Linked DNA regions of Drosophila melanogaster. Changing the gene in region 4 together with the main gene of any one other region gives a genetic interaction. Each region holds a gene or a part of one and is shown on either strand. Other genes may lie near its edges. The genes, in order: nerfin-1, CtBP, Tom and Su(H).

What was found.
Region 1: of Su(H) (region 4) and nerfin-1, changing one suppresses a phenotype caused by changing the other (phenotypic suppression), as found in Drosophila melanogaster (one study listed by BioGRID).
Region 2: of Su(H) (region 4) and CtBP, changing one enhances a phenotype caused by changing the other (phenotypic enhancement), as found in Drosophila melanogaster (one study listed by BioGRID).
Region 3: of Su(H) (region 4) and Tom, changing one suppresses a phenotype caused by changing the other (phenotypic suppression), as found in Drosophila melanogaster (one study listed by BioGRID).

The regions. Positions count from the first base shown.
Region 1 is NT_037436.4:906,395-914,617, forward strand, and holds nerfin-1 (nervous fingers 1), read left to right. Parts: upstream 1-2,717; 5' UTR 2,718-2,903; coding exon 2,904-4,313; 3' UTR 4,314-5,925; downstream 5,926-8,223.
Region 2 is NT_033777.3:13,008,047-13,015,671, forward strand, and holds the start of CtBP (C-terminal binding protein), read left to right. Parts: upstream 1-3,602; 5' UTR 3,603-3,702; exon of another isoform or gene 3,703-4,126; intron 4,127-7,625. Other genes in the region: CG7518 (uncharacterized protein), read left to right, coding at 1-109; CG8031 (uncharacterized protein), read right to left, coding at 638-1,100, 1,158-1,269, 1,336-1,448, 1,513-1,581, 1,643-1,724, 3,086-3,134; CG11656 (uncharacterized protein), read left to right, coding at 1,959-2,038, 2,118-2,913. UniProt on the Drosophila melanogaster protein: Corepressor targeting diverse transcription regulators. Hairy-interacting protein required for embryonic segmentation and hairy-mediated transcriptional repression.
Region 3 is NT_037436.4:14,966,582-14,972,379, forward strand, and holds Tom (twin of m4), read left to right. Parts: upstream 1-2,762; 5' UTR 2,763-2,845; coding exon 2,846-3,322; 3' UTR 3,323-3,725; downstream 3,726-5,798.
Region 4 is NT_033779.5:15,036,054-15,044,882, forward strand, and holds Su(H) (suppressor of hairless), read left to right. Parts: upstream 1-3,434; 5' UTR 3,435-3,883; coding exon 3,884-4,267; intron 4,268-5,041; coding exon 5,042-5,922; intron 5,923-5,980; coding exon 5,981-6,188; intron 6,189-6,253; coding exon 6,254-6,565; 3' UTR 6,566-7,281; downstream 7,282-8,829. Other genes in the region: yellow-c, read left to right, coding at 533-938, 998-1,675; CIAPIN1 (cytokine induced apoptosis inhibitor 1), read right to left, coding at 1,819-1,932, 2,001-2,497, 2,587-2,722. UniProt on the Drosophila melanogaster protein: Transcriptional regulator that plays a central role in Notch signaling, a signaling pathway involved in cell-cell communication that regulates a broad spectrum of cell-fate determinations.

The DNA.
Region 1 (8,223 bases), on a different chromosome or scaffold from region 4:
ATTGGCGGCTGAATCACCCGGAGATACGGCAAATTTGGAGCTTTCAATTTTAATACCCAATGGAGTAATGCAAATTGTTAGCAGATTTTTCGACTTTCCCCCTGCCAGAAACAAATCAAATGCAATTAAAAACCTTTGCGCCCTGGAAACCAAATCGCTTGGCCGTCGGAGCAGCAAAAATTGCATGAAATTATGAAAGCGAAAAATTTAATTACAGCTCAGTGGAAGTGGCAGTGGAATGGATTGACAGGACTGAACCCCGAAATGGCAGCCTCATCGCCACAATGGGCAACATGTGCTACAAGTGGAGTGGATCCTTGAGGAGCTGCCCAAGCAAAAGTGCACGCGGCTTGCAGGCTCAAAAGCTGAAAGGCTAAAAAGCCTTTTGAGACACACACAGCCAGATGAAAACGAGAATGGAAATGCAAGTGCATTATGCCGCATAAACGATGCATTTTCGAACATTAATTATTGCCAAGCAGCCGCCAGAGGGAGCAAGGATACCGACCAGGACACGCAGACAGATCCGAGGTGGGGCTGAGCCCTTGAAATTACCATAAAAAGATGCACTTAAGGGTTAGCAATGTACCGAACAACAAACAGAATGCGTACCTCCTATGTGGGCGATTTGACGAGGTGGGACATAGAGACCATATCCCAGTGGTCGGGGCACTTCTCCGCGGGCTGTCGTGGGTGTTTGTCGAGTGCGAATTTGTGCCAAGAACGCCTTGGAGCGCAGAAATCAGAGCAGTCAAAGCGGATTTTTGAAGGGTACATGCAGAGAAATTTATCACTCATTAATCGAAACTTCTAGAGATTTAATAGACGACTTCCCCCTTAGAAGCAAGTGCGGAGATCGTATGCCATGGAAATATCAAAAGTGCACTCTGATCTGGTGGATGATGATAACCGCAGAGAAGCCTCTAAACAACGCGCACTAATCCGTTTCAATGGGCTTGTCTCAGATTAATCAATTTTCGTCCTTTTTGATGGCTTGATTTCCCGTTTCCTTTTTCGCTCACTTTAGTGAATCGCAAATAAGGCGGCATTTGTGACTGACAGGAATAAGTTGGCAAGGCATCACCGAGTCCTCCGGAGGGGAGGACTTTCGCCACCCGGCACGGGGATGGATTTTGAATCAGTGTATCTGCGATGCCTTTCAGGACCTTCGGATGGCAGCCATCGCGGCCGAAGGACGACAGGACCTTCAGGACAATGCTCGCGTGGCTGGCGCACTTCTGAGACTTTTGTCGCCGATTCACTCGATCCGAAGTTTGGCCCAGGATTTGGCCTCGGATGCGTGCGCTATTTTAATTCTAAGCTGCATGGCAAACATCGATTCCCCTGGCAAAAGGCCACCCTGCTGCGACAGGATCGCCTTGGGAATACTCTCTGCACTTTCAACCATGCACTGCGAGAAAATCAATATTAGTAGCGCATTCAATTCATTGTACAATGTGTATTATAGCATTCTGGCGGAGTTAATACATTCAATTGAATATAAAGCTGAAATCTTAGATCAACTATGCAATTTGGGGGTATTTTCTTTTAGTGCTCACATTGTCAGCCCGTTTTGGGGTGGCAATCGTTGCCATGCACGTGCCTACCGTAATACAAGAACAACAACAATGGCGGCGTGTTCAACATAATATGCCATATTTTCCAAGAGCGAGAGTCCTGCGAATCCTGCGACGAAAGCCCTCGACGGGAATCGAAAGTGCATTCCTTTCATGGCAACCACTGTCGACTCAGTCAGCTCAGTCGGCTTCGCATTTCGATTACATTAATGCAAAGCACTCACACGAACGATACACGTCCAGGATACTCGCACACAGATACAGCTACCGTTACAGCGACAAGGATACGAGGATAGAAGCGATTGTGCGCCATGCTCCGCGGTGGTGAAGTTCGAAGTTCGAATCCAAGTTGTGTCTGCTAGTCTGTTAGTCTGTTACCTACCCCACCAAAAGCGAACTTGACGAGCTTAGTCGTCTGAGGCTGATAAATGCAGTGCCGCAAAGTACACATCGCGAAATTTGTGTATGAGATGTATGAAAAATGTAAAAATAGATAGCAATCCGAACTATGCCCTATGTTGATGTACTTTCCAGCCGTTATTACTTGTTACATTGTTTACTTTTATAACCATCTTGGCCAACAGCTGTTTAGCACCAAATGCCAACAAAGAAACAATTCACCTTTTGGCCCAAGGATATTCCCGATCTATTGATGAACCTTATGGTTACATGCTCAATTAACGACTCCATGGGTGTCAGCTGTTTTTTTTGGCAAAAATAAGGACAATGTGCTGCTCAGATTTCCGCTGAATACACAAACATACATTCATATTTGCCTAGGAAGGTGCTGCGATTTTGGTGCGTGGCAATTTCGGGTACCGAAACAACAGCTGTCGCACATTGATTTCTCCGAGTGCATTGTCCTGGCCGCAAAACGGGAGACTGTGTGGTGTGTGTGTGTGCGTAGGACTTTCACTCCGTGTGTATGTGTGTGTGTGGAAAAAAGGGTGACTAATGTGTGTGTGATTGCTAACAAAAGATTCCGGCTTTTGCGGCTCTGCCGGCGTCGAAAAAGGACAACGACTTCGGCCGAAAAGGGGGTTGAAATGTATTTCCAGGACGCCGGCACAAACAATGATTTCGAGTTTCGGTTTCGCTTTCCTTTGGCCTGTGGTACACATAAATAGCCGCCACCGAGTCCACCGAACGTCATTCGCAGCACAAACGTCGAGCCGACTGGAGGTCTTCTGCATAGAGTCCCAGTCCGCGAGGATCAGCGTTATCAGTTTGTTGTTAAGTTTGCTTAGTTCCCGTTCTACGTTCCCCGTTCTACTCCGTTTTCGTTTTGCCTCGTTGAAGTTTTAAGTTGAAAGTCCCATCGATGCCATGGCCCAGATACAGACACCGATACCGATTCCAGCCCCCGCGGAGCCCATTGAAAAGCTCAGCCACCCGCACAGCATTGGCATCCAGTTGCAGCACAAGGGGATGCCCCATGGCCTGGGCCTGCTGACCACAGTGGCCTCGCTGCCCCCCAAGTACCGCAGTCGATATCTGAACCTGAAAACCAGGTGCGAAATACCGCTGGATCTAACGCTGAAGCTTCCCTCACCACTGCCCAGCAGCGATGTGCCCATGGCGGCCACATTCGCGGAGGTCTATAGCGAAAATACGAGTGCTAGTTCCAGCGAGGTGCAGGGGGAGGTGACCAAGGTGGAGGAGCTGCCGGTGAAGCCCCCAACACCACCGCAGAGTCCAGCAGGGAAGCGTAAATTGAGCCGGGAGAGCTATGACGACGAGCCGGCTAAAATGGCCAAAAAGGAGGAGGAGGTTCCGGTGGAAACAGTAGAATCCACACCAGCGAAACCCGTCAAAGTGGCAGAATCTGCGCCTAAAACCAACAAGGCCTCCACTTCCTCGGGAAAGCCCTCCCGCAATAAAGCCACCCGCAAGCTGAAGTTCGATGAGGAGACCAGTTCCCCCGTCTCGGGCACCGTCATCCGACCGCTCGAGGACATCACCGATGGATCGATGCAGTACAGCAACGGCGACATTGACCCCAAGTACAACATAGTCGAGATCACGGAGGAGACCAAGGCGGAACTGGCCGCCATCAAGAACGTGATCGGGGACTATGTCTGCCGACTGTGCAAGATCAAGTTCGAGGACGCCTTCGGCCTGGCCCGGCACAGGTGCGCCTGCATCGTCCTGCTGGAGTACCGGTGTCCCGAGTGCGGCAAGCAGTTCAATTGTCCTGCTAACTTGGCCTCCCATCGCCGGTGGCACAAGCCGAGGAAGGAGGCGTCTAAAAAGGAGAATCGCAATACCACCAACCAGCCGGAGAAACAGCAGCAGGTGGAGAAAAAGTCGGAGGAGGAACTGGCCTTCGATTGCCAGGAGTGCGGCAAGAAGTTTAAGAGAGCCGCCTACCTGAGGAAGCACCAGCTGACCCATCAGAAAAAGGAAAAGCCAGCGGAAAAACAGTTGGAAATGAAGCCCACCACCACAACTATCACAGGCAGTTTTCACTTTAACCAGGCGGTGTCCACCTCCTCCTCCGCCAGCAGTTCGCACTCCGATGAGGGAGTCTACGTGGTGGGATCGAATGCCAGGGAGAACTACGACTATGACAACGACTACCTCTCGGACTCCAGCTCCTCCGCCTCATCTGCGGGATACGGACGGCTTCAGATTGTGGAACATGGTCTCACGGAGGAGGAAAGCATTGCTGCCGCAGCTCTGACCAACTTGAGGAACTGCGCCTCCGTCATCCAACACACAACCATGGCCCACTGAAATCGAGTGAGATTTATTTTTAATGTTAAGTTTAGTTTCTAGTTGAACACCAAACCCGATGCAGCTGAAACAGACCAAAGAAATAGTTATATTCCACGGAAATTTCGTTTTCCACTTCGTATTCTTAGTTAGCTATAAAATTTAGTTCTTAACCGATTCAGTTTCGTTCGCAAAATGAGTTCAATTCTAGTTAGACTCTAGTTTGTATCCGTACTTCGGCCCACATTCCACACGGCAATTTAGTTGTAACTTAATTTCTAGTCAGTGAATCCAAAGAATCTTGGCACTAGTCAGCTTCAATACGATCTCGAAAAGAGTGTCTCTTGTGTACCACGAAGGCATTTCTATTAGTCTCTAGATTTAGCTAGTTTAGGAACTTTTGGGAGTGCAATGAACCTACAACGAAAGCCAAAGCAACCAACCAAAGATTTATAACTAATACTAGTCAGTCATATATCCATCTACTCCTTTGCTCCTACATCATCCCATGACATCATTCATCACCCATATCATCCTTCATTCTTCTTACTACTAATCATCCCATAGCTTTTCACACTTTCATACCAATTTCCTCATGACTCACTCTCATCCTGTATCATCTTTGCATTTTTTGCTAATCATTTTCCAGTTAATATTCTACCCTTAATTCAACCCTTTAACAACTTTTTCAATCTGGAAATTTCTCGTCATTCTAGTCACAAGTTCTTGCATTCCTTCTAGTCACTTAGGATAAATCATCTCTATAAGTCAGCTTCAGTTCGATCTTACTAAGTTTGTACAAACATATATCGTTCTTCAATTTCGGATACAGCTTTAGTCATATTCAGGTTATATACCGAAACCAAAATTCAGGCAAAATTGTGCAGTAATAGTGTTTAAGTTCGAATCAAACCAAAAAGCAAACCAAATCCTAGTTTAAAGCAAATTCAAGCCCAGTGTTTGTGAACCAAAGTCGAGTGTGAGCTCTAGTCATTTTAGCCACCTAATCAAGCGGAATCAGCTTGTTCTCAGTTTAGTTTAGTTAGTTAAGTTAGGCATAGAAACGGACATTGGACCAGCGTCTCACTACCAGTCAAAGTATTGAACAGTACAACCTAGCTATAAGGGCCACAGGCTTCAGAACCGGCGGTTGTGTACTTAAAGCAATAAAATAAGTAATCCCCGATATCGGGACAATATCACAGCGCTATTGTTCCTTAGCATCAGTATGTGTAAATTGGTTGTAACCGCAGAGTACAACGAAAAGGGAAACTTTCGCTCAATCTAGGAATTAACTAACTCTAAGCTATATCATACATGTAACCATATCGGTTGAGATTTTGTGATACTACAGTCTAAGCTTCAAGTTTACAAGAGAATCGTTGCGCTCGATTGTGCATTAACAATAAGCTAAGAGGAGACAGATCATTGAACCAAGTATTTTTATACGTAATATACACCATATATTTTTATACAAAAACAAACTCTTGAAGACCTTTTTTAATTATATGATGTCTAAGATGTAATCGACATATATTTATCGGAAACCAATATATTTTTATACAAAACCCAATCTTGGAAAACCCATAAAAATTGTAAATTATAAAAGCTCTTGAATAAAAACGCAAAACTGAAAATGAAAACTTCTTGTTGGGTTCTCTTTGGGTTGTCAGGGAAAACAAACCCCCAAATGATTGCTTTATAATTGCGGCGAGGTGGTCATATATCATCTATACGGGGGTTGTAAGACTGGTAACCAATAATGATGAGTGCTCTTGGGTGATTCCTTATAATCATGCCCAAATAACGGCGAACTGCAGTAATGAAATGCCATTAAGGGCCATTGACATGGTCCATCGATCTGGGACCGACTAAAACAAATACCAAAACACACTAACTGCCAAGGCGGAAAAGCGGAAGTGGACCATTGAATCGGACAGATGCATTTGGGCACTGGGCTAAGGACGAGGAAACTTGATGACGATGGGGTGGAATCCCAGGGTGTTTTCAACTCAGTCTCTGGTCGGTCCATAGTGAAACTCTAAACGGGCCAAACTAATGATGCTCTCAACGGAAACGCGTAAAAAATGTTTAATCAAATACAAATGCATGACAGCACGGAAAAAAGGCGAACAGGATATGCCAGGATATGCTAGGATAGTACGGGATGCGAGGGTGCAGCTGAATAAAACTAAAGGATGCGGGGGTGGCAGTTGCGTGCGCGGTGTGAATCAATTTAAAGCGTCAAAAGATGTGGATGTCCTTCCCCTCGCACAGCGAAAATTGTGTAAAATCATGCCGCAAAAACAACCCCGTCGATGTTTTCAAGGGGGCGATGCAGCAGCCGTAAGTCACCAACATCTGTGTCTGAAGGCCTGAAGCAAACAAAAAACATAAAATACTAATAAAATGATCTCGAAACCGATACGTTTTGCAGTTTGCACCTTGGCACGGGACATTCCTGTACTGTGGTACCCGCATTAGATGGTTCGATGTCCAACAAGTTTCCATTTCTGCGGGTCAAAGGCAGCTGCTCGAAGGATCTTACTTCCTTTCAGGTCCTCGGGACTCTTATCCTGCTGCTCTGCTAATTTGCACCTTGAGAGGCATGTTGGCTTGGAAATCCGTTCGAGACTACCTTATGCAGGTCCTTTGTTCGCCCAAGTGGCCATGTGTTCTAATGGCACTCCTCCAAGGAGTTGACAGATTGATGAGCGCGATTGGCAGATTTGAAGTGCCGACCACTCGAGTAATCCATTTGATTACCATCATCATTGGCAGGCCACTTAGAATTGCCCGCCCAAGGGGTTTTTCAATATGCAAATTGTTATTATGTATGTTGCTGCTACAGTTGCTGGAGATCCTGCACATGATATGAAAGGATATCTTTGTACTAACATGCTGGGTAATTATTCGCGATCTTTGTAATCCATTTGATCATGGCACTTAAAATCCTAAAAAAATTAATTCACAATGCAGCAAAAATCCCTTTGAAGCAATGCTACATAGTTAGCCCACGGATTTTCAATTCGAATAACTTATCTGTAATATCTTCCGGAACTTCTCCTTTTACATAAATACAAATAATACGTTGAAAGGCTCTTATACGTTTTAAACATATGAAGCTGCTTATAAGGCCCGAAAGCTTCCAAAGCTCCAACTGATTGCGAAAGCGCTCCCGTGCAACACTGCCAAGTCGCAGGTCCTGGCAGCCATCGAAATGCAACGCGGCGTTAAGTTGGCAGCTTCGACTGTCTAAGGAAATAACGGTTATCGGGAAATTTTCTCCGGCAGAGAGACGCCTACACAGAGGAGTACGTGGAGTGCCGAGTTCGAGTCTCAGCCGGAATCGCACACCTGACATTCATGTTGTGGCCATTCTGGCAGTCAGACGTGTGGATCGCAAGTCCGGAAAGCCAAGAGCCGTAGCCCCAAGTGCAAAGTGGAGGAAAGGTCTCAAGCAGATTCGCTGTCCGTGAACGGTTTACGGTTGCGGTTTACTACGACGTGTCGCGTCTCAGATTTTCATCCGGTAAATAGTGACTTGAAATAGTTACTTGCGAGTCGAGATGAGGTGTTAGTTTCTTTGAAAATTGGAAAAGCACAGAGAAAACTGTTCGTTCAAAGTCGCAGCATGTGCTAGGGGGTGGTGACTTGGTGGGTGGTTCCGGATGGGGATGTCCTGTGAAAGAGAGCAGCTCGACTTATTGATTGAGCTTTCCGCGCTCGCTCTCTGTGCCAAAATACGGGTACTTTTGCTTGGGGAGCGCGGAAAAGCTTTTGTCCGTTTTCCCGCTGCCACTGCTGCTTGCCTTGGGTGAATTTTTCAGCAATTTTCATTTTCAGTTTTTCTCCCGACTGTTTTAGGGCGGTTCCGCAAGTAGCAGCGAATCCTGCGATTTAAGCACACTCAACTCGAACGCGTATGAAA
Region 2 (7,625 bases), on a different chromosome or scaffold from region 4:
GGAGTGCTCGCGGCTGAATGGCACGGGAACTGGAGGTGGGCCGAGCGATGTGGCCTCGGCGGACGCCACCGCCGGAGGAGCTGCCAATGCGGCCGCCGCCTGGTGGTGAGCCACATGACACGAGGTGCGCTGCCTGGCCAGCAGATTGAGTTGAACTCCTCACATTCATAACAGTCTCTCACATACGCAGACATTTCATCGATGAAAAGCAGAAAGAAAAAAAAAAAAACGAAACATAAAAATTCAAAAAACCGAAAACGCATCCAAGAAATCATTCAAAATGACTTAGGAGTCAATTTCAATGTTTCAACAAAAAAGAGAAAAATAAAGAAAAATTAACTCAAATGGAAGTTCACATATCCTGCGATTGTGTGTTTTTATTCAATTCCCCTTAAATTAACTAAATCTATGCTAATAATCAAAGCTAAATTATCAAAATGAGCTTTATTTCTCCTTGCGATTTTAATTGTTAATTGTATTTTGTTATAATTGATAAAACAATGCCGACTAAATTGAAACTGGTTGGGGATTTTGGATTTATTGTTAAATTTTCAATTTGATGCTAGTAAATATAAAAACGTTACGCTTAAATAGCAAGAATTAGTTGCCGTCGAGTGGCTAAAATACTTGAGTGCTTTCACATCTCGAAGACGAGCGATCCGGAGGCGTAGCTAACGCTGGAGTCCTCAATGTCCTGACACTGGCTGCTCTGGGCGTACTTGAGGAACTTGAAACTCATCTTGTCGTAGCCCTGATCCTGCAGTGCCTTCACGGCGCCTAGCATTACTCCGATGGGATGGCGTCCGCATATCGTATTGTTGTACTTGCGCAAGTACTCGGTGAAGGAGTGCGGATTGAGCGACTCAATGATGTCCATGCCCTGCTTGTCCAGCTTCTCGATGGACTTGTGAATCGCTCCGCAGGAGCTGTCATAGTAGGTATAGCTGAAGCGATGGCCCCAGTGGCAAAAGTCGGAAGATATCACAAACAGATTGGTGGGGTCCATCAGATACGAGGACAGCAGGCTGCCGTACTGCGCCTCCTGTTCGGGATTGAGCGAACCCACCAGAATAGGCACAATGGTGAACTGATCCTTGTAGCTGCAGCAGTGCTATTACTTAGTAAAACGCCTCGAGCATATATTCAAATCCACTTACTCCTCCATCACTTTGGCAATGTAGGGTAAATGCATCTCGATGGAGTGTTCATCCTCGTCAGTCTTCATGTCCATCCAAGAAAACTTTCCAGTCTTCTCAAGCTCAGAGTTGACTAAATATAAATAATAAATGAAATCAATAAAACATGCAATGCACCTTGTATTTGCAATCGACATACTCTGAGCATCAATTTTGAGATCATAGAGGGGTGTCCTGTACTTCTTCGCCACGGATAAGGCGCAGCCACGCAGACGCACATGATGCGAGGGACCCAGTATGAAGATTCGCTTGCTGCAAGCAAAGGTTCAATAAAACCGGATTGTCTTCGCGGAAATCTCGAATGTGAACTTCTTACACGACAACTGGGCTAACTTGGCGATAGGCAAAGGCAGCGCAGGCTCCACAGTACGTATATCCAGCATGTCTGTGGAATATCAATCAGTAAGTTCAATGGTGCTTATTGCAAGAATTCGGTTAAATCTTACGGAGCAATGATGGCACGAGCCGGTCCATGGGACAAATCTGCGGCACCCAGCCAACGATCCAACTGTCTCGAGAGCTCGGCGCCTGAAAAGCAAAGTAAATACATTTATTAACGAATAAATAATATCGTAAACCATAATTCCCTGCTCAGGAATTGGTTTCAGTTTCGAAATCAACGAAAATAGTTGGCCAGTCGTTGCCTAGCAGCAAACAAACAAATATTTCCTGGTTTATAAGACTTTCACTAAATCGAGACTTATCACAGCAGCGATATAAAGTTATTAAATATTGATTTAAATTTTAGTTGAACATTCCGCGATGGAAACTGATAAGGAAAAACAAAGCGATGAGCTCATGAATCGCATTCGGAACGAGCTTACAGCTATATTATCTCAAGAGTAAGTTATCAAGTTACCCAATATATATATATATATATAAAAGAAGAAAAAAATCAATCCATTTATAATCCTACAACAGGGCTGCTGATGATTCCGACAAGGAGGCGTCACAGGAACTGCTCCTGAGTCCCAATCCGCTGCCCATTTTCGGGCCCATAAGGAAAACAAGGAAAGCAAAATCGAGGAGTTCCAAGAAGAACAATAGTAAGGCCTCCTCCTCGTCCGCTGGCAGTACAAAGAGTTCGTCGTCGGGTACCAGATCATCTGAAGATCGTTTAACTGGAGGTGGAGCCCAGGAGAAGCCATCGGATCCGGTCTCCACATCCTCGAGCTATTCGCTAAGATCAGGATATGACGCTCCGCCCGTGGAGGCCAGTGCCCGTGCCGACTTCCTTGAATCGCAAGCGGCCAAAAGCATCGACGAAGATGTCCGGAAGATGCAGCTGGAGCTCAAGCAGAGCTACGAACTCTTCCAGGGCATTGGCGAGAAATTGGAGTCGGTTAGCTTCACGGGCTTGAAGGACCGCATACGGGACCTGCACCTAAACGAATCCAACAACGAGTTGGGCAAAGCGACGACTGCAGAGCTTCAGATGATGTTCGACCAGCGTTTCCTGCAAAATCGCCTGGACAAGCTATCCACGGACGCCACGCAGGGATTCCGTCGGCATCCCGGCGAATTCGGCGACATACCCGAGCTGAGCACCTTCTTCCAGGCATGCACTCAGTTGGAACGCGGACTGGATGCACTGCGTCAGCAGCGGCGGCGCAACAGCGAGCTGGAGAAGCGTCTGTGCTGGGCCACCGAAATCGCATACGATCGCATGGACGAGATTCGCAATGCGGTTGGCTCGGATCCGGAAAAGAACTTCTGAATTGGTGACCTGTAGTTACATTTTTGGTTCACCCTAAGGTTCATTACCCGCACACAAACACACACACAGGCAAACACGCACAGGTGCAATACATATGCGTTTATCCCACACCCATAGGCGATGCAATAATTGATTGTGTTATCTTCTGGGCCGCAGCTGGGTTGTTACTCACCCGAGTCCGTGTACCAGCTGCCTGCATGGGTTGCTCTTCTGGCCGACATTTTGTGCGAGATCCCTAATCGGTCTGTTTAGTTAGTAAGAGCTATTAACTGGCCGTTACTTGTAGAAAAAACGAGTTCTTTGTTATTGGTACAGCAGTGTGACCGTCGTCTTGTTTTTGAAATAAACACGTTCTCTGGATTCGCTGATCAGCGGTCACACTTCTTCAGGGCTGCATTAAGTACTTAAATATCGTTTTTTTTTTGGTATAATCATATATACCATTAATACTTTTTTATTATTCTAAATAATAAATCACACAAATAAAATACAATACATAAGGTAACGTAATTTTATTTAAGTGTTGTTTTTTATTAATTTCCATAAATGAAATCGCATAACATATACAACTGAAACTCACGGAAGTCGAAAGTCGGAATTCTGCAATACCAACATTTCAAACTATACCATAATTCTTGCAGTTTGCCTGCGCGCACCGAGGTATTTTCGAACGACCCGTGTGCGGTCACACTGTTCGCATAGCGTCATTGCTGTACTAAAACCTAAAAATCCGCCGTGTTCGTATTCCGCCATTTTGAAAGCTGCGAGTGGAATTTGGACGCGTTGCTGGTAAATTAATTGTGGGAAAACTGCCCAAAAAGTGCATAAAATTTGTGAAAAGTGGTCGGCAACGGTGCATGAGACCCGCCGCCAAGTGTTTGTCCCCGAAAATTGTGTGTGGCCGCGTTTTTGGCACGTGAATTTCTTGCCCAATTGTGAACTCGCAAAAAAAGAAAAAGAAAAGAGAGAAGAAAACCGACGCCGCCGTCGCCGCCGCCACAAAGGAATAGGCGAATAAGCGAGAGAAAAAAAGGCGAAAACGAGAGCTGAAAATCAAATTGTGCGCCGCTGATTGCGTTTCAGCTATTTAATAATACCACAATCGAAAATCCGCGGCAGCGGCGATTTTTCCACGGATTACTACACCATATATTTCCCATTTGCCTTTCCGTTTGCAACGAGTGTGCGCCTGTGCCTGTGTGCGTGCGTGTGTGTGAGTGTGCGATAAACGTGTACAAGAAAAATTTAAACGTGCAGAATTCTGATGAATTTTAAAGCGGAACTGCTATTGCCTGTATAGGTGATGCGGGTGTGCGTGTGTGGGTACGCACACACACATGACCAAGTATTGTTGCGGTTTAATGCAAAAGTCGAGTGAGTGCGTGTGTGAGTGAGTGAGAGAGAGAGAGAGAGAGCAATGCCTGCCATATTCTATGCAAAACATAAATAAAATTGTGCAATAATTTCCCCGCACACGCACACAGCCACAGATACATACACTCTCTTTGTAATTTATATTTTTTTCCGCCCGCCTAGTGACAATACACACGCAAGGTTCACTGCGCAACGTCCCCCTTTTCTCAAGCACCCCCCTTTTGCCCACGCCACTGCAACATGCTGTCTCATCGTTGTTGTTTTGCCGCCGCCACATTTGGTGCGACAGAGAGAGAAAGAGCGAGCTAGCGCGAGTGCAAGAGAAAGGGTGGGAGGGAGAGGCCAAAAGCAACGAGTTTGAAAACCAACTAAAGCCTCATGTTGACACATTTCAACCGGGAGTTTTCGTTCTTTCGCTCGGATTAAAAGCCTTTAAAGGGTGAAAGTGCTGCTTATCGTTTCTTCTTCGCGAACTAAAGCTTTAAAAGTATAAATAGCTTTTATTTCCTGCGCCCGCATATTGATTGCAAATTACAAGCGCACACACTTACTCAACAACCGTTGCGATTGTTTGTTTGTGTGTGTTTATGCCGATTTGAATACACAACCAAGTGAAAAAGTTTGATCAACTTACGAATGTCCATTCAAATTGATGCTTGTTTCTAGTTTTCTTACAATTTTTGCGCTTGTCGTGTTTTTGTCATAGCTTCTTCTATCTCTATCGCTCTCTCTCTTCTCTCTTGTTCGTTCGCCCTTTCACTGTTCGACGTGCCTGTACCCATCACACACATACAAACGTATACGTCATACACACACACACACGCACACATGAAGAGGCAGACAGACAAGCAACTCTGGGCTCCCCCCTCCCTAAACCTCTCCCCTCCCAGCCACATACTGCCGCACTTGCAACGGGAATGTTGTTGGTATTGCTCGCAGTGCTCAAAACTCCGAAGAGGATTACAAATGGTGTTTTTGTTTTTGCCCAAAAACGGAAATACAGACAAACTTCTGCCACATAAAGAGTTCAAATTATAGCGACTGTTAGTTGTTTAGTCATTTGTTGTATTCCCCGCAACTTTTTGCGCACTTTTGGGGTATCTAGACTGATTACAAACCCTTAAAAGCAGCAGGCACAATTGAAATTATTGATTGCCTTAAAGTTAAAGTTAATTGCGGTTATGAAATTTTTGGCTAATTGTTCGTCATTGGGCAAAAATGAAATGCTGAGGAATTTGCTTTATAAAAACACTTAAATTTATAGTTATTAGCCACTGAATTTGTATTGCAGTCGTTAAGAATTCTTCCTACCCAATGTAGTTTTCGCTATAGAATAAATAGAAATATGGAAATATGTGGCAGAGAGAGCCGCTTTTCCCGTTTCCACTTCAATATTTGCATTGCCATGGAATTTTCTATATATATAGTCCATCGATAACTGTACATGTTGCTGAATTTGTTGTTACTAGTTTTTTTGGCGCAACAACGTTTTCCGCTTCTTGTCACTGCCCTTTTTTGGCAAATAATAAATTTGATTGTGTATGGGCTGCCCACTCCCACTAGCTAACGGTTATTTATTGTCAATGCCAGGCGATGCCGCCCACTGCCACGCCTCGTACGACCCCCCCCCCCAATCCGTTTGATGCTCTGTGTTTTTGCGCAATGTTTGTTGTTGTGTGTTTGCCGCCGACTGCGCGCGTGAAAAAATGCACACCTGCCCAAAGAATTTCACACTTGGTGGTGCACGGGGCGCAAAACAAAGCGAAAGCAGCCACCAAAATAGCAGGCAAACGTTTAAATTTAAACACAAAAGTCCGAGGAACTAAAATTCGACCAGAAACACAATGGCAGCCATGTGTGCCTCATATTCTTGTATTTTTTTTCTGCGCTCTATCTCTATCGATCTGAAAGGCAAATACAACGCAATTCGGTTGATGGTACAGGCTCTAATACCCTTAAAGCTAAATTGTCCAAGTTATAAATTTGTTGAAAATGAATGATAGTTTACAAATTCGGATGTCTTTCATCTATTCAGCGGTGGAAAGATGTATTTTGGCCAGCTAATCGTTGCATGTTTGATGGCAAACCTTTCGCCATATCTGCTATACTCCTGCGCAAGCACTTTTCAAATGAAAACAGAAAACACACACTTTCAGATGGCTCAGCCAAATTCGTCCAAAACAACAGATGCAGCGATATGGCAACAATAATAAATAGAAATAGCCAAGCAGCCGCAAAACGCAGAATCAGCAATTCGTAAGCGTGCGAGGCAATAATATATACATATATATATATATATAAATTGTATTTCATTTGATTTTTTCCCACTTCTGGTCACTTGCCACTCGGCTATGCTGGCTTGCAGTTTTTCGATTTGCGTCATTCGCAGACCGCGCGCACCACCAATCAATATTATAAAAAAAAAAAACAACAACAACAACAACAAAAAACGAAACAAGACAACAAAAACCAAAAAACAAGTGGGAAATACGAGAAAAGGCGAGGGAAAACAATGGGAAAGCAACGCAGAATGGCACCTACATGCATACATACTACATACATAGACAAATGAAAACATTGGCCAATGTCAGGCAAACAGTTTAAGTGCTTTCGTTTGGTAGTACAGTAAATACCATGGCTAAATTATTGCTGAAGGTCCGAACTCGTTCGTAATCGCGTTATCTGCACTTTTCCAACCGCGAAAACCGAATATCAGCGAAAATGGCCAATTCGGAAATTTACCCAGTTAATGCGGTGTGTTTATATACTTGTAGGTGGAATAATCTGGCTAAAACAATCTCAAATTTAAATTGGAAGGAATTTGGAAAACGCAATGCTCTGATTTTCTATTGAAAAATGGTTTGACTTTTTATAGCTTATTGGCAAAAAATGTATTTAACATTTAGATATTTTCGCAATTCAACGATTTCTGGTTTGAATTTCTTACATTTTCCATGTTCTATTTTCATTTCTACACTCCCATCTATAAATTCTATAAATTCACTTATGGCATTGCGGGCAACTGATTTATGATGTAAGAGTATGAATACCCATACCCACAACTTTCGCCGGCTTGAAAAATCGCATTTGCGAGTGCCGAAATATTGTGGCATTAATATCGCGCTTAATGTGAATGGCCATCACTTTAGTTACTGCGAGCCACGAGGCTTTTGGCGTCATCTTGAAAGCCGGCTTTAAGTGCATATGCATGAAACAGAAAGCTGAAATGGTTAGCCAGCGTGGTGTGGAGGGGACGGGGGCTGCTGGCAGGAAAAGCGCGGGAACGCAACGTCACGACAAAACGGCAGCAGCCGTTAATTCAGGCAAAAGTACAAAGA
Region 3 (5,798 bases), on a different chromosome or scaffold from region 4:
TACAAAACCATATAGCACTGAGCTCTTTGGCAAATAAGAGACATAGTTTCTAAAGAACGTAGCTCAAATTTTACGAAGCGATCGTGTCGAGACTTGTTCCATATTTCAAGGATCGAAATTCATTGCACGTGTGCAAACACTGCGACTGTGGGATAGTCGGTCTTCTTTATTGCATTGTTTTTCAATTCTTACTTTGCGTTAAGAACAATAAAACATTTTTGTAAATGCTCCTATTTGGCAACGACAAAGAATTCAATGCAACGTTAAGATTGAGAAGTAACAGAAACAACTGATTTTATTAACAATATTCATTTGCTATTTAGTTTGGTCAACAAATTCTATTTCTTAAATTTGTTGTTTTTTTATACAAATCAGTGCTAACCTAACATTAAAAAAAAATATAATGTAGATCCAACTCCTGTTAAATATTAATTTTGAAAAATTGTACGAAATGGTATATTATGGTATCATACTTTTGATTTGTTTTCCTAAAAATTTGTGTTACAATTTGTGTTCTTTCAATATTCTTTGACTTGTGTATACCTTAAAAATAAATTAATCGTAGCCTATACATTTTACATATGTACATACGTTACTATTGTAAATATATGTAAATAATAGTAGGATTATCCAAACGTGCATTTAATTTTGTATCACATTTCTTACAGCAATACCTTAACTTTAAGGAAAAATACATATTCAATATTATTTGAATATATTTTCCATTATTAATAGGGAGGAACGTCATCTTAATGTGGAACCGTTTCAAAAATTTACATAACATCAACCTGCCACGCCTTCCCTTTATAAGCCGAAAACGAAAACCGAATGGTTAACGATATGTGTAAAGTGTGGAGAGGGTCAAATCAGGTCACGTCTTCTGACAATCAACAGCCAGGCAAGTGTAGACCCCAATTTAACCCCTCGACTCTGCTTCACTGCGATTGAAATTGATATAATGCACCCCACCGAATTGCGCAAAATAATAAACAGGTTTCCATTGCAAAAGGGAGAACCTTAAAACAAAGAAGCTCTGCGTAATGCGGGGCACAGCAATCAGACGGGGGCCAATTAGGGACCCTCTTAATGACCGTAAGGATAGCCAAAGGAACGAAACGACCGTTACAAGAAACTCGAGTCCTCGGAGCCGTTACAAAATTATGAAAGTAACCTTCGGGGGCAAGGGAAAAGGGCCCATAACAATTAGGAAGGCGACTCATAAACGAAGTGCCGACGAAATTCCACTAAAATGCGTAAACCGAGCCAAAAACCAAAACTCTGAAGATCCCTATCTGTACGTGCTTCTCCCGCGTCGAAAATTTTTCACGCATCAACAGAGCAGGTCCCTCGAACCGGGAAAGAACAACAATGACAAACAAATGCGATCGGAAGGAGCTGAAAAGGACCTGCCGAGATTTCCCGAAATGCGGCATTAATGCATATTGACTAACCTTGAGAGTCCGATCCCATCCCATTCCATCGCAATGCCAAGTACCCGAAAAATACGTTACTTTGCTCAACTACCTACAGGTTGGGAAAATAGGAAAAGGACGATCGGACGGAAGGACTTAGGGGCACTTTCTGGGCTGTCTCAATGAAATAACGGACAAGTCCCTTGTCCGTTTGGGTATTTCCAGCGGCGAGATTGTATCTCCGAGATATGCCAATCCATTGTTTGTCCATATCCTCCGTCTTTTTTCGGATAGTGTGTCGAATTTTAAAATCTCTCTTCCCTCACACTCTGTTATGGAATTTTTTCAACAAGTTTCGACTTGTCCGCTCGGTACTCTCCTGGAATTTTACGTTTGGGATTTAGGGACTTCTACTTTTCTTGCGACAGAGTCGAGCAGGTAAAGAGAGGTTGTGAGGCATGGTACTCTCAGAGGGGGCGAAAGATCGAGAACCGACCGAGATCTATGCGACTGTCAAAAAATCCGTTAAAAACCTGCAGTGAATGAGCAACTCGAGTGGGTAATACCCAGCATTTGAATCACGTGGGAAACATATGAAATTTTAAAGTAAATGACTTAGTATGGTATGCTATGTTCCAAAAAATAAATACCATTAGTAAAATACTAAATAATTGTTAAATATACAACGATCTCTTTGTATTTATTGTAATTTTACCGATGTACTTCCTACATACCTTAATTTAGCAGTGTGCTGTTAAGGAAAACTTTTTTTGTAAGGCTGTGCCGATCTTAATTATTTAATTTTAAATAGTTTTTAATTTAGTTGTATACCAAATATTTTAGGATACATTTTATTCTTGCTAGTCTTTTAAGTTTAATTTTAATAGAGTCCTTAAATATTGATATTTTTCATCAAGTTTATGATCTTATTACTATAGTTATTATAAATTCAATGAATTCAATTCAATTAAATTCAACCTTATATGGCCCCTTTCAATATTACTATTATAAATAATTTTTTTTAGAAAAAATACACTTAAAAGATATACACACAATAAAAACATATTAACCTTATTTTTCGTAAAATCTATTTTTTATGCACAGACTCAAAAATTCATCATACCCTGCTTTCTCAAGGGTAAGGACATGCTCCTGATTCCGAGACCGCTTTCTCTTGGCTCTCTTTTGTCTCCCGCTCTCACTGTTTGTGCAACCACCTGCAGGCAGTCTGCCTTCCCATTGGCTGGGTCCATCGATCGAGAGAACCGCCGCTCTGTGCGAGAATTCTCCCCCGCCGAGAGAAACCAAAGAGAGCAAATCGTATATAAGGAGTCGGTCGTGCAGCAGGAAAACCAGAATACTACCAACTCTCAACCGAGTGCAACCAACTAAGATCCCAAGTTTTATTATAAATCTCAACAATCCTCAACACAATGTCGTTCATCACACGGGAATACAAGTTTGAGAGCAGCAAGGTGATGGAGCCGAAATCAGATCAGCACACGATGGCCATGCGGAGTCTGAGGAAACTGGTCAAACCCCTTCTGCGACTGGTGAAGAAGAAGCAGCTACTCCGGAAGACTCTGGCCGAGATCCAGAACCAAAATGCAGTCAACGCCTCGCTGGAGGACATGCGCAAAGATCCGGCGGCCAGTTGCGATAACATGGCCAACGAGGAGCTGGAGCAGCGACTGTACACCGATCTCCGCCAGTGCCCCACCAACGTGGCCATGATCGTGCAGCAGGGTCAGCAACAGAGCATCGTGCCCGTCCATCCGGAGCAGACCTTCATCCCGGTCCACTTCGCCCGCACCACCAGCGGCACCTTCTTCTGGACCTCAGCCGAGGGAGCTCGCCAGCACCACGAACAGCAGTTGCGCCAGCAGTTCGACCGTTGGGTTCAGGCCTAAACATCGCCAGGATGCACAGTTCCACTTCTCGATGCACCGGGAAAAACTCCAATTGGCAGCTTTAAGTGCAAGTGTCTCCGTCCATTGGTCGTCGGATGGATGCGGGTTCAGCTTCGCATGTTCGTAATCTCAGGGTGATATTAGGCATAGATTGGATTCTTTGGGCTCGCGTCCCAAGGGAAACACAACTCTAATTGATATTCAATTATCACAATCAAGCGTTACTATCGTTAACTCATTGTGATTTATCGTGTCTTATTAGCCTTAAGTTAGTCTTAGCCGAATCATTGTCTTCCATGTTTGTTTGTTAGGGTCTTCGTATAAGAATTAGGCTAAGAATCATTGTCTTCCATGTAAAACTTTAGCTATAAACACTAATATCATATAAGAAATAAATAAATCGAAAAAAGGAAATTCTAATGTCTCTTTATTCTGAAAACTGATATGAAATAATATGAATAAGGTTGGAAAAGAAAAATCCCAAATTGAATGACCATTGTAAGTATAGTTAAATTCGGCTACTCTGTACAATTCTGATTTGAAGAATGGATTTTAAATTGGACTCGCTATGCTGGTGAACACATTCCAATTAGTGACTGCATTCATTCCTGCTTGGAGACCATTTGAATCCAAAAATGCTGCTGGTAGGCAGTTGGAAATACTTCCGTAAGAACAATAAAGAATTTTATTTACATTTATATTTAGCCTGACCACAGGCTAATATAATATTCACCAAATATTATTTTTTGTCTTTCATACAATTTCTGCATCTGTTATCGTTAAAATATGATTTTTGTTTCAAATATACCTAATATATACCTTTGTAGTATATATGTATTTATTTATTTATTCTATTTATATTTCGAAAATATTGGTATAGTAAATATCATATCTTTTCATATCATATTATGGTTCACACGCTTCACACGCACCCCAACCACCTAGCGCGAGGTCTAATCCAGCTCAGCAGCCGTTCCCGTCTCCGGCGAAAGGACCTACCAACCCAGCGAATAAATTATTAGGGCCGTTTAAACATAGAACAGTTGGAAAAATAATACAACTGTTCAAAAAATACTTGTTATAGTTAAGATTTTTAAACTTATTGTTAGTTCTTATACAAGAAGATTCAATAAATAAAAGCAAAGTAAAATAAAAAAAAAATATTATGGTTAAAAAAAATTACTGTTTGTATCTACAAATATTAAAATACTACAAAGAATTCTTCAAGAACTAATTATAAGAAAACCATATCAAATAACCCAGTCTAAAATGAATAAAATAATTTTTAAAAATTTTGAATGTGCTACAAACGCGTGAATTCTCAAAATTCTTTAAATGAGTCAATGATAAATATTTATCACAATAATATCATATATAATATGTATGTATATACGGCTAACAAGCCACCGAACTGAAATAAAATAAAGATAAAGAATTATGTATTAAAGAATACATGTATTTTCAGTGTAAATAATTTTTTTTTATAAGAAAAATGCAACATAAGTCATATTACAACACTCGATCCACAATATTTTGTTTCACGATAGCCACAAGCTAATTATGCAGGCTTCATTCTGGCGCTTGAATTTCAGGAAACCTGACACTAACAACTAAACTTGAAACGCCACCAAAATAAAATCTTCAAGTGCTTATGGGGAATTATGCCTGTGGAATAGTTAAGCGAGCCACAAGCACGCTAGGTTCCTGGTTGGTCACCCCCCAAGTGGATGGGCCAGGATCCTATCCCACTCCATCTAATGCAACTGGATTGGAATACGAATGAATCCCAAATTACAAGTGCCAAGTATTTCAATAGGAGACGAAATTCGAATTTCAACAAGAGACGAAATTTTAATTTTCTTGGAGAGCCCGAACCAACACACAAGTGTGGGGACAGTGAAACCTGTCACAGAAAACCATATTTCCAAGTGGTGGTTCCATGCAACAAGAAATCCAAAAATATCTTAAATCCCTATAGCAGATTTAAGGGAAAGATAAAGAAACCTTTCATGCAATAAACGAAGAAATTCGAGTTTCATTACGCTCCAAATTCAAATTTTGCCAAGGACCAAAACAACCCCGAAGAACAAGTGTGAGGACAGTGAAGCCTGCCAGAGCAACTACGCTGCAGTGAGTGTGGAATCTTGAAAATCCCTGCACACCTTCGAGCGAATGTTCACTGTACTCGAAAGGACCACAGTCTACCTGTACTGATCAAAAATGAAATGTTGACGTGTAAATATTTCTCGTTTGCCGACAACATGTGTTTAACGAGGGTCTGTCACTTTTATCCTCCACTGTCAGCCTATTAACAATTAATAGCCAAAAACTAATCAAGGCATAAATTCGAGCCGAGTCCTCCGCAAACAAACCACTCAAATTACTAACCCGAACCCGATGGAAAAGGGATGATCGTTTATTTTTTCATTTCTTTCATTTTTTGGCTATTTGTTATGCTTGCCGGCATCGTCCTCCT
Region 4 (8,829 bases):
CGTAACATGAGGTTAATTATAAATTAATAAGAGAAAACACATGATCGGAAAATTCTATGGAATATTATGGATCCCATAAAAGGCTAACTAGGTAACTAGTAAACAAAGTCTTTGTGACGTCACCTTTTTGGGATTTACCACCGATGCGCTTATTGGCCAAAAAGCCCCGAAAACCATTCTGCTTTTCGGGAGATATGAGTAATCAAAACAAAATTCGATTTAAAAACATTTCGAAAAATAAGATACGTAAAAAAAGTATATTTTGTTGATAATACAGCATAATTATTTAAGCTATAGTTGCCGTCAAAGTTTTAACTGATAGTGCTAAGATATAAATTAAAACTATAGCTTATATTAGACTATATCCAATCAGTCATAATAATTGCGCAGGTGAATGGTACTTTTTAATGTTATTAATTTGTTACTTGCCAGTGTCAGGTTTAAATGTAATTAGTAACTAAACAAGTCTGAAATGTAAATTTTTTAGTTAATTTATTTCTCCTCATTATTAAATGATCTACTTTCCCTTTAGATGGAAGGCTGGTGTTGCTGCCACACTCAACTACATCGACATTAATTCGACGGAGAAGTCGCCAAAGCTGCATCCGTATCCCAGTTGGGAGGCCAACAAGCTGCCCATCGATGTGCAGCCACAGGACCAAAAGACACCATCCGGTGGACGTCTGGACGCGGACAAGGCTCAAGATGCCGGCATCCAGCTGAAGGACAACTCCACTGTCATTTCCACCTTCCGAATTCAAGTCGACGTATGCGATCGCCTGTGGGTGCTCGATACTGGCTTGGCCGACATCCTGGGCAGTCCCAAGCAGATTACGCCCAATTCAATCCTGGTTTTCGACTTGAAAACAGATACTTTACTGCGCCGTTTCACCATTCCCGCTGATCAGACCAAAGAGGACTCGTTCTTTGCGAATATTGTGAGTATGCATAGGCGTATTATTTAAATTCCAAACTGATCGAATTAATCAATATTTAGGTTGTGGATGCGGACCGCTCGGAGTGCCAAGATGCCTTTGCTTACATTCCGGATTTGGGTGCCTACGGTGTGATTGTGTACTCCCTGAGGAACGACAAATCCTACCGCGTCAAGCACAACTTCTTCCACTTCGATCCTCTGCATGGTGATTTCAATGTGGGCGGCGTGAACTTCCAGTGGACGGATGGCGTTTTTGGGCTGGCCGTGGGCCCAATGAATCCAGATCACTCCAAGGACATTTATTTCCATGCCCTGGCCAGTACCAAGGAGTTCAAGGTTTCGAACCGCGTGCTGCAAAACGAATCACACGTGACCGCTGGCGATTCGTATTACGATTTTAAATACGTTGGTGACCGTGGCATGAATGGCCAGTCCACCGCCGAGGTCTTTGACCCCGAGACCGGCGTCATCTTCTATACGCAGGTGAACAAAGACGCCATTGCTTGTTGGAACATCAAGCGTCCATACACTCCGGACACCCAGGGGCTAATCGATTCCGATTCGCACACTCTGGTCTTTCCAAATGACATGAAAATCGACAATGAAGGCACTATTTGGGTGCTGTCCGACAAGATGCCGACATATTTGTACAAGGAACTCGATCCCTCGGCCGTCAACTATCGTATTTTGATGGGCCAGAACCGCGATCTCATCAAGGGTACACCATGCGAAATGTGATCACTTGGATATTTAAATCTACATGCTGTGTTTATGACGCGGTGCATTTTTGTATTTACATTATGACATTATTGTTTGTTAGTAAGTCAGCTTAATAAACTATTTGAAATGTGATTGATTGGGTATACCATGGTGAGCCTAAGTTAAATGTCGGATTTCAGGAGGTTGTCGGCCAGTTGCACCTTCTCACCGGGCTTAAAGGCGGGCATGCCCAAATAGGGGCAAGTGGAGCAGCGGAAGGCGTCGCCGAGATAACACTGTGCATATAAGAAATCAGTTATAATCGAGGTTAATGCTAACTCACATCGGGGTTAAGAGAACTCACATTTCCACAGCTTGACTTGGCATTCTCGGTGGCCTTCTGGCTCTGTTTTTCAGTCTCCAATTCCTCGGCCAGCCCGCAGGAGCAGTTTTTGCACGCCTTGCGCTTGCCCGTGGTGCTACAGACACGCAGACCAGCCGGATCCGGCTTCTGTTTGTCTTCCTCGTCCAGCAGCTCCTCCTCATCGATCAGTTCCTCATCGTCACCGCTTATCTTCCACACATTGACTGCACTGGCGTTCTTCTTTGCGAATGACAACCTGGCTGAGGATCCTGTCTCGTAGCCAGGCTTCTCGGCGGTCAAAGCATCTGGAGAGTCCTCGCGACAGTTTATGAATCCGGATAGCTTGATCTCCTGCAGCAAACTAGCCGCCGGACCGATGTAGGACACCAAATGCAGTTTGCCACTCGGTTTCAGCATGTGCAGCAGTTTTACGTAACTGTCGGTCAGCTGGGCGCACTCGATCACAATCAGGTCGAAACTGGAGTTGGCATAGGAAGCTGTAATGCATAAACATCACTGATTTTAATCTGCTGACTCACTGGCTAGTCAAAAACAGCACACACACACCGCACCGCACGCAACTTACAAAACGAAAGGCGGTGCACATTTTCCAAAGCCACATCGCCGCCAGTGGCCGCCTTTAGTTGCTCCACGCGCTTGTCCAAGTCGGCGCTGTCCGTCCATATGTATAGGGATTTTTGTAGACCCTTAAAGTTCTCCATTGTGGATGTGTTTCTAGAATATCTCAAAAGTTCAAGCACCGAACGGAACCGATTTTTGATTTCACAAGTTAGATATGGCAATGCACCGAAAATCGAGCGGTGATATCGATTGTACCTGCCTATCGGATTGCAAATGATATTCAGTGATTGTAGATTTTTCCACTTTACACTGTGACTGCTAAAATATATGAATAACTAAGTGTACTCCACCAGATTCGTTTTTTAATGAGTTACAGCTTACATTCTGATACATAATTAACAGCTTTTAGTTGCATATTGTGTGTTTCTGCCACTAAACCTATTTAAACGGTTACATTTAAGCCTAAAGTCGCGAATTATCTTTTAAATTCACCCATGTGTACTTTCCCACGGCCCGTTTTAAAAATGCATGGACAGTTAGACAAGAAGGTTGGTAGTTTGTACCTTGAATTTTAAATGTGGGCGCTCAAAATCGAAGTGTTCAATGAAAATCGATACCTTTCGCATCAGTTAAAAGTATTTATAGATATAAGAAATAATATCTTTAACAGTGATGTGATGGGAATAAATATACAAATGTATTCAGAAACTGCAAAGTTAAAACAAAATATATTAGCTACTCCAAATTGGCTATAAAATAACCAAATGCCCACTGCCATCCAAATCCAACCAACAGTGCTGTGAAGCGACAAACATATCGCCGGTAGGCAGCGACTATCATAAATAAGCGCCTATCGGACTATCGATACAACATCAACATCCTCAGTCGCTTTTTTAGTTGTAGCATATTATAAATATAACTCGAGCGCTAGTTGCAGCCTTAAACAGAAGCCAGCCGCCACTACCGCTAGTCGCTAGTCAAGATCTGCTCGAAACGCTGAAATATGTGTGATTAGTCGTGAATCGCAGCTAGCCGCAAATCCAGCTTGAGCTACAACAACAAAGCCAATCCGCGGTTAAGAGGAAGAGAGTGCGTGAGAGAAACGACAGCTGCTCTGCGTGTGTGTTTGTGCAGCAGGATAACAAAATAGAAAACATACAGCAGCAACAACAACAACAAAAACAGCACCAGCGAACAGTGTATAAAGTGCCAAACGAATTTGCCAAATAGCCAAAAACGAAATAATAGAAAAGATCCAAACAAAATTCCAATAAGTTCAATGCAAGGAGACATGTGCATAAATGAAGAGCTACAGCCAATTTAATTTAAACGCCGCCGCCCCGCCCGCCATTGCCTACGAAACTACGGTTGTAAATCCCAACGGCTCACCCCTCGATCCTCACCAGCAGCAGCAACAACAGAGCCAGGATATGCCGCACTTTGGACTGCCCGGTCCGCAGCCGCCGTCGTCGCAGCAGCAGCAACAACAATTGCAAGTGCACCACCAACAGCAGCAGCAGCAGCAACAACAACAACAACAACAGCAGCATCAACAACAAATGCAGATGTCCTTGCTGCCGGGTCCTTACCGGCCACACATCGAGGAGAAGAAGCTCACGCGGGACGCCATGGAGAAGTACATGCGCGAGCGCAACGACATGGTCATCGTTATCCTGCACGCCAAGGTACGAAAGGATTTCCACTTTTAAGCCGGTATTATCAGGTGCTTGGTCTGGATTTAGTATTCAAGATATTCTAAAACATACAAGGGAACTCCTGAGTCTTAAGTCTTAATTAAATTATTTGAAGCTTGAAATACATTATTTCAATATTACTAAAAATATATTAACCCAAACTGGAGAAACGTAGGATATCCTAACTTTCATTTAAATTAGAAACTTGGTCAGTTTTGTACGTCGATTTCCTAAATTATTCGATTTTTTAGATTAAATAGATTAAATTCAGATTTTCTTTCTATTTCAAGTTTAACGATGTATCCTTTCTTTGAAAATTACTTGTATGCTTTACAAGATATTTATTTTTTTTTTATAATTTAGTTTTAATCTAATCGGTCAGTCCGCAACGCCAAAACCACACCCACTATTTAAAGGTGCTAGTGTTTCCATTGTCCACTTTAAAGTGTTACATTTTTGCGGTTTTTGGCGAACGCAGACATGAAAATGGAATAAAATTGTCGCGGTTGCTTTTAGCGGTGGCGATCTTCAAGCGACGACTGCCGCCAAATGGGAATCCTTCACACTCGACTGCCCGCAAATTGAGCAACGCGAGCGCGGTCCAGTCCGCAATGAAAATAATTGAAATTAATTACAGAAAATTAACAAAGCTGCATTGCTTGCGGTTTTGATATGATTTTCCGATAATCTGGACGGCAATTTGTACTAATTGAATTTTCCCTGCACCATCGTGCGCCTCTGTCTGTCTGTCTGTGTGAATTCCAGGTGGCCCAAAAGTCCTATGGCAATGAGAAGCGATTCTTTTGCCCACCGCCGTGCATTTATCTGTTCGGAAGTGGCTGGCGCCGGCGGTACGAGGAGATGTTGCAGCAGGGCGAGGGCGAACAGGGAGCACAACTATGCGCGTTCATCGGTATCGGGAGCAGTGACCAGGATATGCAGCAGCTGGATCTCAATGGCAAGCAGTACTGTGCGGCCAAGACGCTCTTCATCTCGGACTCGGACAAGCGAAAACACTTTATGCTGTCGGTGAAGATGTTTTACGGAAACGGTCATGACATTGGCGTTTTTAACTCGAAACGGATCAAGGTTATATCCAAGCCGTCCAAAAAGAAACAGTCGCTAAAGAATGCCGATCTGTGCATAGCCAGCGGCACCAATGTAGCCCTGTTCAATCGCCTGCGTTCCCAGACTGTCTCCACCCGTTACCTTCACGTGGAGAACGGACACTTTCATGCGTCGTCAACACAATGGGGAGCTTTTACGATACACCTGCTGGATGACAATGAGTCCGAGTCGGAGGAGTTTCAGGTGCGCGATGGTTACATTCATTACGGAGCCACAGTCAAACTGGTGTGCTCCGTAACGGGCATGGCCCTGCCACGTCTGATCATCCGGAAGGTAGACAAGCAGATGGCCCTGCTGGAAGCCGACGATCCCGTTTCTCAGCTGCACAAATGCGCCTTCTACATGAAGGATACGGATCGGATGTATCTCTGTTTGTCGCAGGAGAAAATCATACAGTTCCAGGCCACGCCGTGCCCCAAGGAGCCGAACAAGGAGATGATCAATGACGGCGCCTGCTGGACCATCATATCCACCGACAAGGCTGAGTACCAGTTCTACGAGGGCATGGGTCCTGTGGCGTAAGTATAGCTTACTTACAACTCAATGGATTAGTTTTCATTTCGTGTTTTCTTCCAGTTCTCCAGTCACTCCAGTGCCAATCGTTAATTCCCTTAATCTCAATGGCGGCGGGGATGTGGCCATGCTAGAGCTGAGTGGCGACAACTTTACGCCGCATCTGCAGGTGTGGTTTGGCGATGTGGAGGCGGAAACCATGTACCGCTGCACAGAGACATTGCTATGCGTGGTGCCGGAGATTTCACAATTTCGAGGCGAATGGCTTTGGGTAGGTTTTCCAATGTAAATCTGTTTAATACGCGCTATAAATTTTACTTTTAATGGTCCTTGCAGGTACGTCAGCCCACGCAGGTGCCCATTTCGCTGGTGCGCAACGATGGAATAATTTATGCCACCGGTCTGACCTTCACGTATACACCTGAACCAGGTCCTCGGCCGCACTGCAATACACAGGCCGAGGATGTGATGCGAGCGCGACAGAACAATAACAATAATAACATCACTAGCATTAGCAACAATAATAACAGCAACAATGCGGGATCGCCGGCAGCCGGCGGTGGCTTGCAACAACAACAGCAGCAGCATCAGGCTCTGCCCTCCATCTCAGAAGTGCAATGGAATAGTCATGGTAGCGGCTTATCCTGAGTGCAGGATTATTGCATCGCACACATATGTATCCTAAGTTATTTATAGTTTTTATCGAAGACCTTAGTTTGTAGATTGACAATTTTTCTCATACTAATTTTCAACCCCTCGTGACGTAAACCAAAATGTGTCCCCTTCTCTCTAAAGTGAATCATACTTTACACATGTATCTAGTGCTAGTTCGGAACCAATAGAATTGTAAATGACACATAAAACTCTGTACATAACTCGAAAAGCTCACTGACATACATACATACATTTGTATGTGCATGAATATACCTTTACACAAAACATGTAATTCTAGTTAAATATACAATTGATGTAAGTTTATAGACGATTTTTAGATGCGGTTGAAATATTTATGATTTTCTTTGCTATGAATTTCCAAAGATCTAAATGAAAAAAAAAAATACTGCGAAATGCATCGGAAATTTTTATTATACACAAGCCAGTAGCCACGCTACAAAAACATTCCATTTCCCTCTTTAGCTTTCTAAAAAGTCGAAGACAAAGTCAAAAAGGGAAAAATTTGTTTCTGTACATACAGTTTTGTTGCATTTTTTTATTAACTTTGGAAATTCGTAGCATTAAAAATCCCAATAAAATATTTTGTAAAATAAAATCGCAACAAGACAAAACAGCGATTTATTTAAGTGTAAGCGAAATGCCTAACATAAATAAAAAAAAGAAATCCCAAATGATGACAAAGAATAATCAAATCATGTCAGCTTATGTTTTTGGTTTAGCGTGATTCTTCTGGTTCACCATTTTTCCTGTGGCCTAAGGTGGAGCGCTGGGGAGGATTGGTTGCCTTAAATTGCTGTGGGAATATTACCCAGTATCGTGTGAATATTTTTAAACAAAACAAGTGCAGCTCTTCCCACGATGGTTTGCCTCAACCCCCTCGGACGGGCCGACTTTAATTATAGTTTGGTCTGGAATTGCTGAACGCGAAGCTAAGAAGCAAATATACATAGATATATAACACTATTGTTTCCGTTTTGGCCAAGTTAAGGAGCAGAATATTCTCACAGCCCAAAAAGCCGCTGCCGAGCTGCTGTGAGAATTTTTACTGCCTTTGTTGAATATTTATGCATTCGTTGCTGCTGCTGTCTTTACAGATTTACAAATTAAGATTCGCAGTTTTGAATTAATTATCGCTCACTTCCGCTCGACGGAATCAGAAGGTGAGCGCTGGCCAAGCATTTAATCTCATCTTGCACTTGGGAGACATATTTCTTATCAGAGTCAGCCAATAGGAACTTGGCTGCAACCCCTAAGATTTTACTGCACCGGGCGATGGGAACGAAAGACTTAAACAACGAACTTTGGTTGCGTGAGGAATCAAACTACTGGCGGCCGCCTGTGTTCATTATGATGGAAAAACCACCACCAAAAGTTCTGGCTCTGGCAATTGGAACTGCAACCTCTTAAGGTCGTCGCCGTCTTATAAGAAGCTGAATATGAAATTAGTTTGGAATTTTTAATGAACAATTCCTTCACATTTCCCCAGGCCCTCTTTCTCCACCACTGTTTGGATAGGCGAGTGCGATGATTGTGGTCGTTTTTAGAAAGGGGGAGACAGCAATTTCTAAAAGTTCTCAGGACTGCTACACAACCTCATACCGTCTACTAAAAAAGTTCATTATCTTGAAAAATCTAAGTCTACCTGCCGTCGTCTTTAGTCTTTAGCTTGCCGTGCCGACTGCTGCCGTTTTTCACACGCTGGGGAAAAATGGAAATTCTCGCAAAATACAATGCGTGGGAAATCGGTGGCGTGGGAGTCAGGCAAGAAAATCAAGGGAAACTATATAATCCAGTCCTATAAAAATTTGTATTCACAAGACTTTGGACACGTACTCCCTTCCATGCGCGGTAAATCCAAAGCCGTAGGTCAAGATTGGTAAATCGATGGCAAAATCGATCGGATTTTCAAAGTTTATAGGGGTCGGTCGTAACCGTTACTTCAACTTGTTTAGTTCCATTGTTGTTACTTAACAAAGATATTTATATAAGACTAATTATTTTATTTATTAATGACTTTAATGAACTATTAACACTTGTGCTTACACAGCATTTTTTGTCTAAAATAGATTGGTTTGTTCTATACGAACCCATTTTCAAGACTTGTCACAAGCATTTGTTCAAGTTAAGTGTTATTAAGTGTCCAAAGTTCGTTTGTTTGTTTCTAAACGAAATGAACTTAAGACATTTAACTACGTGTTTGCACGTTTGTTTGTGTCCGAAGTATAATTTTCTAACCG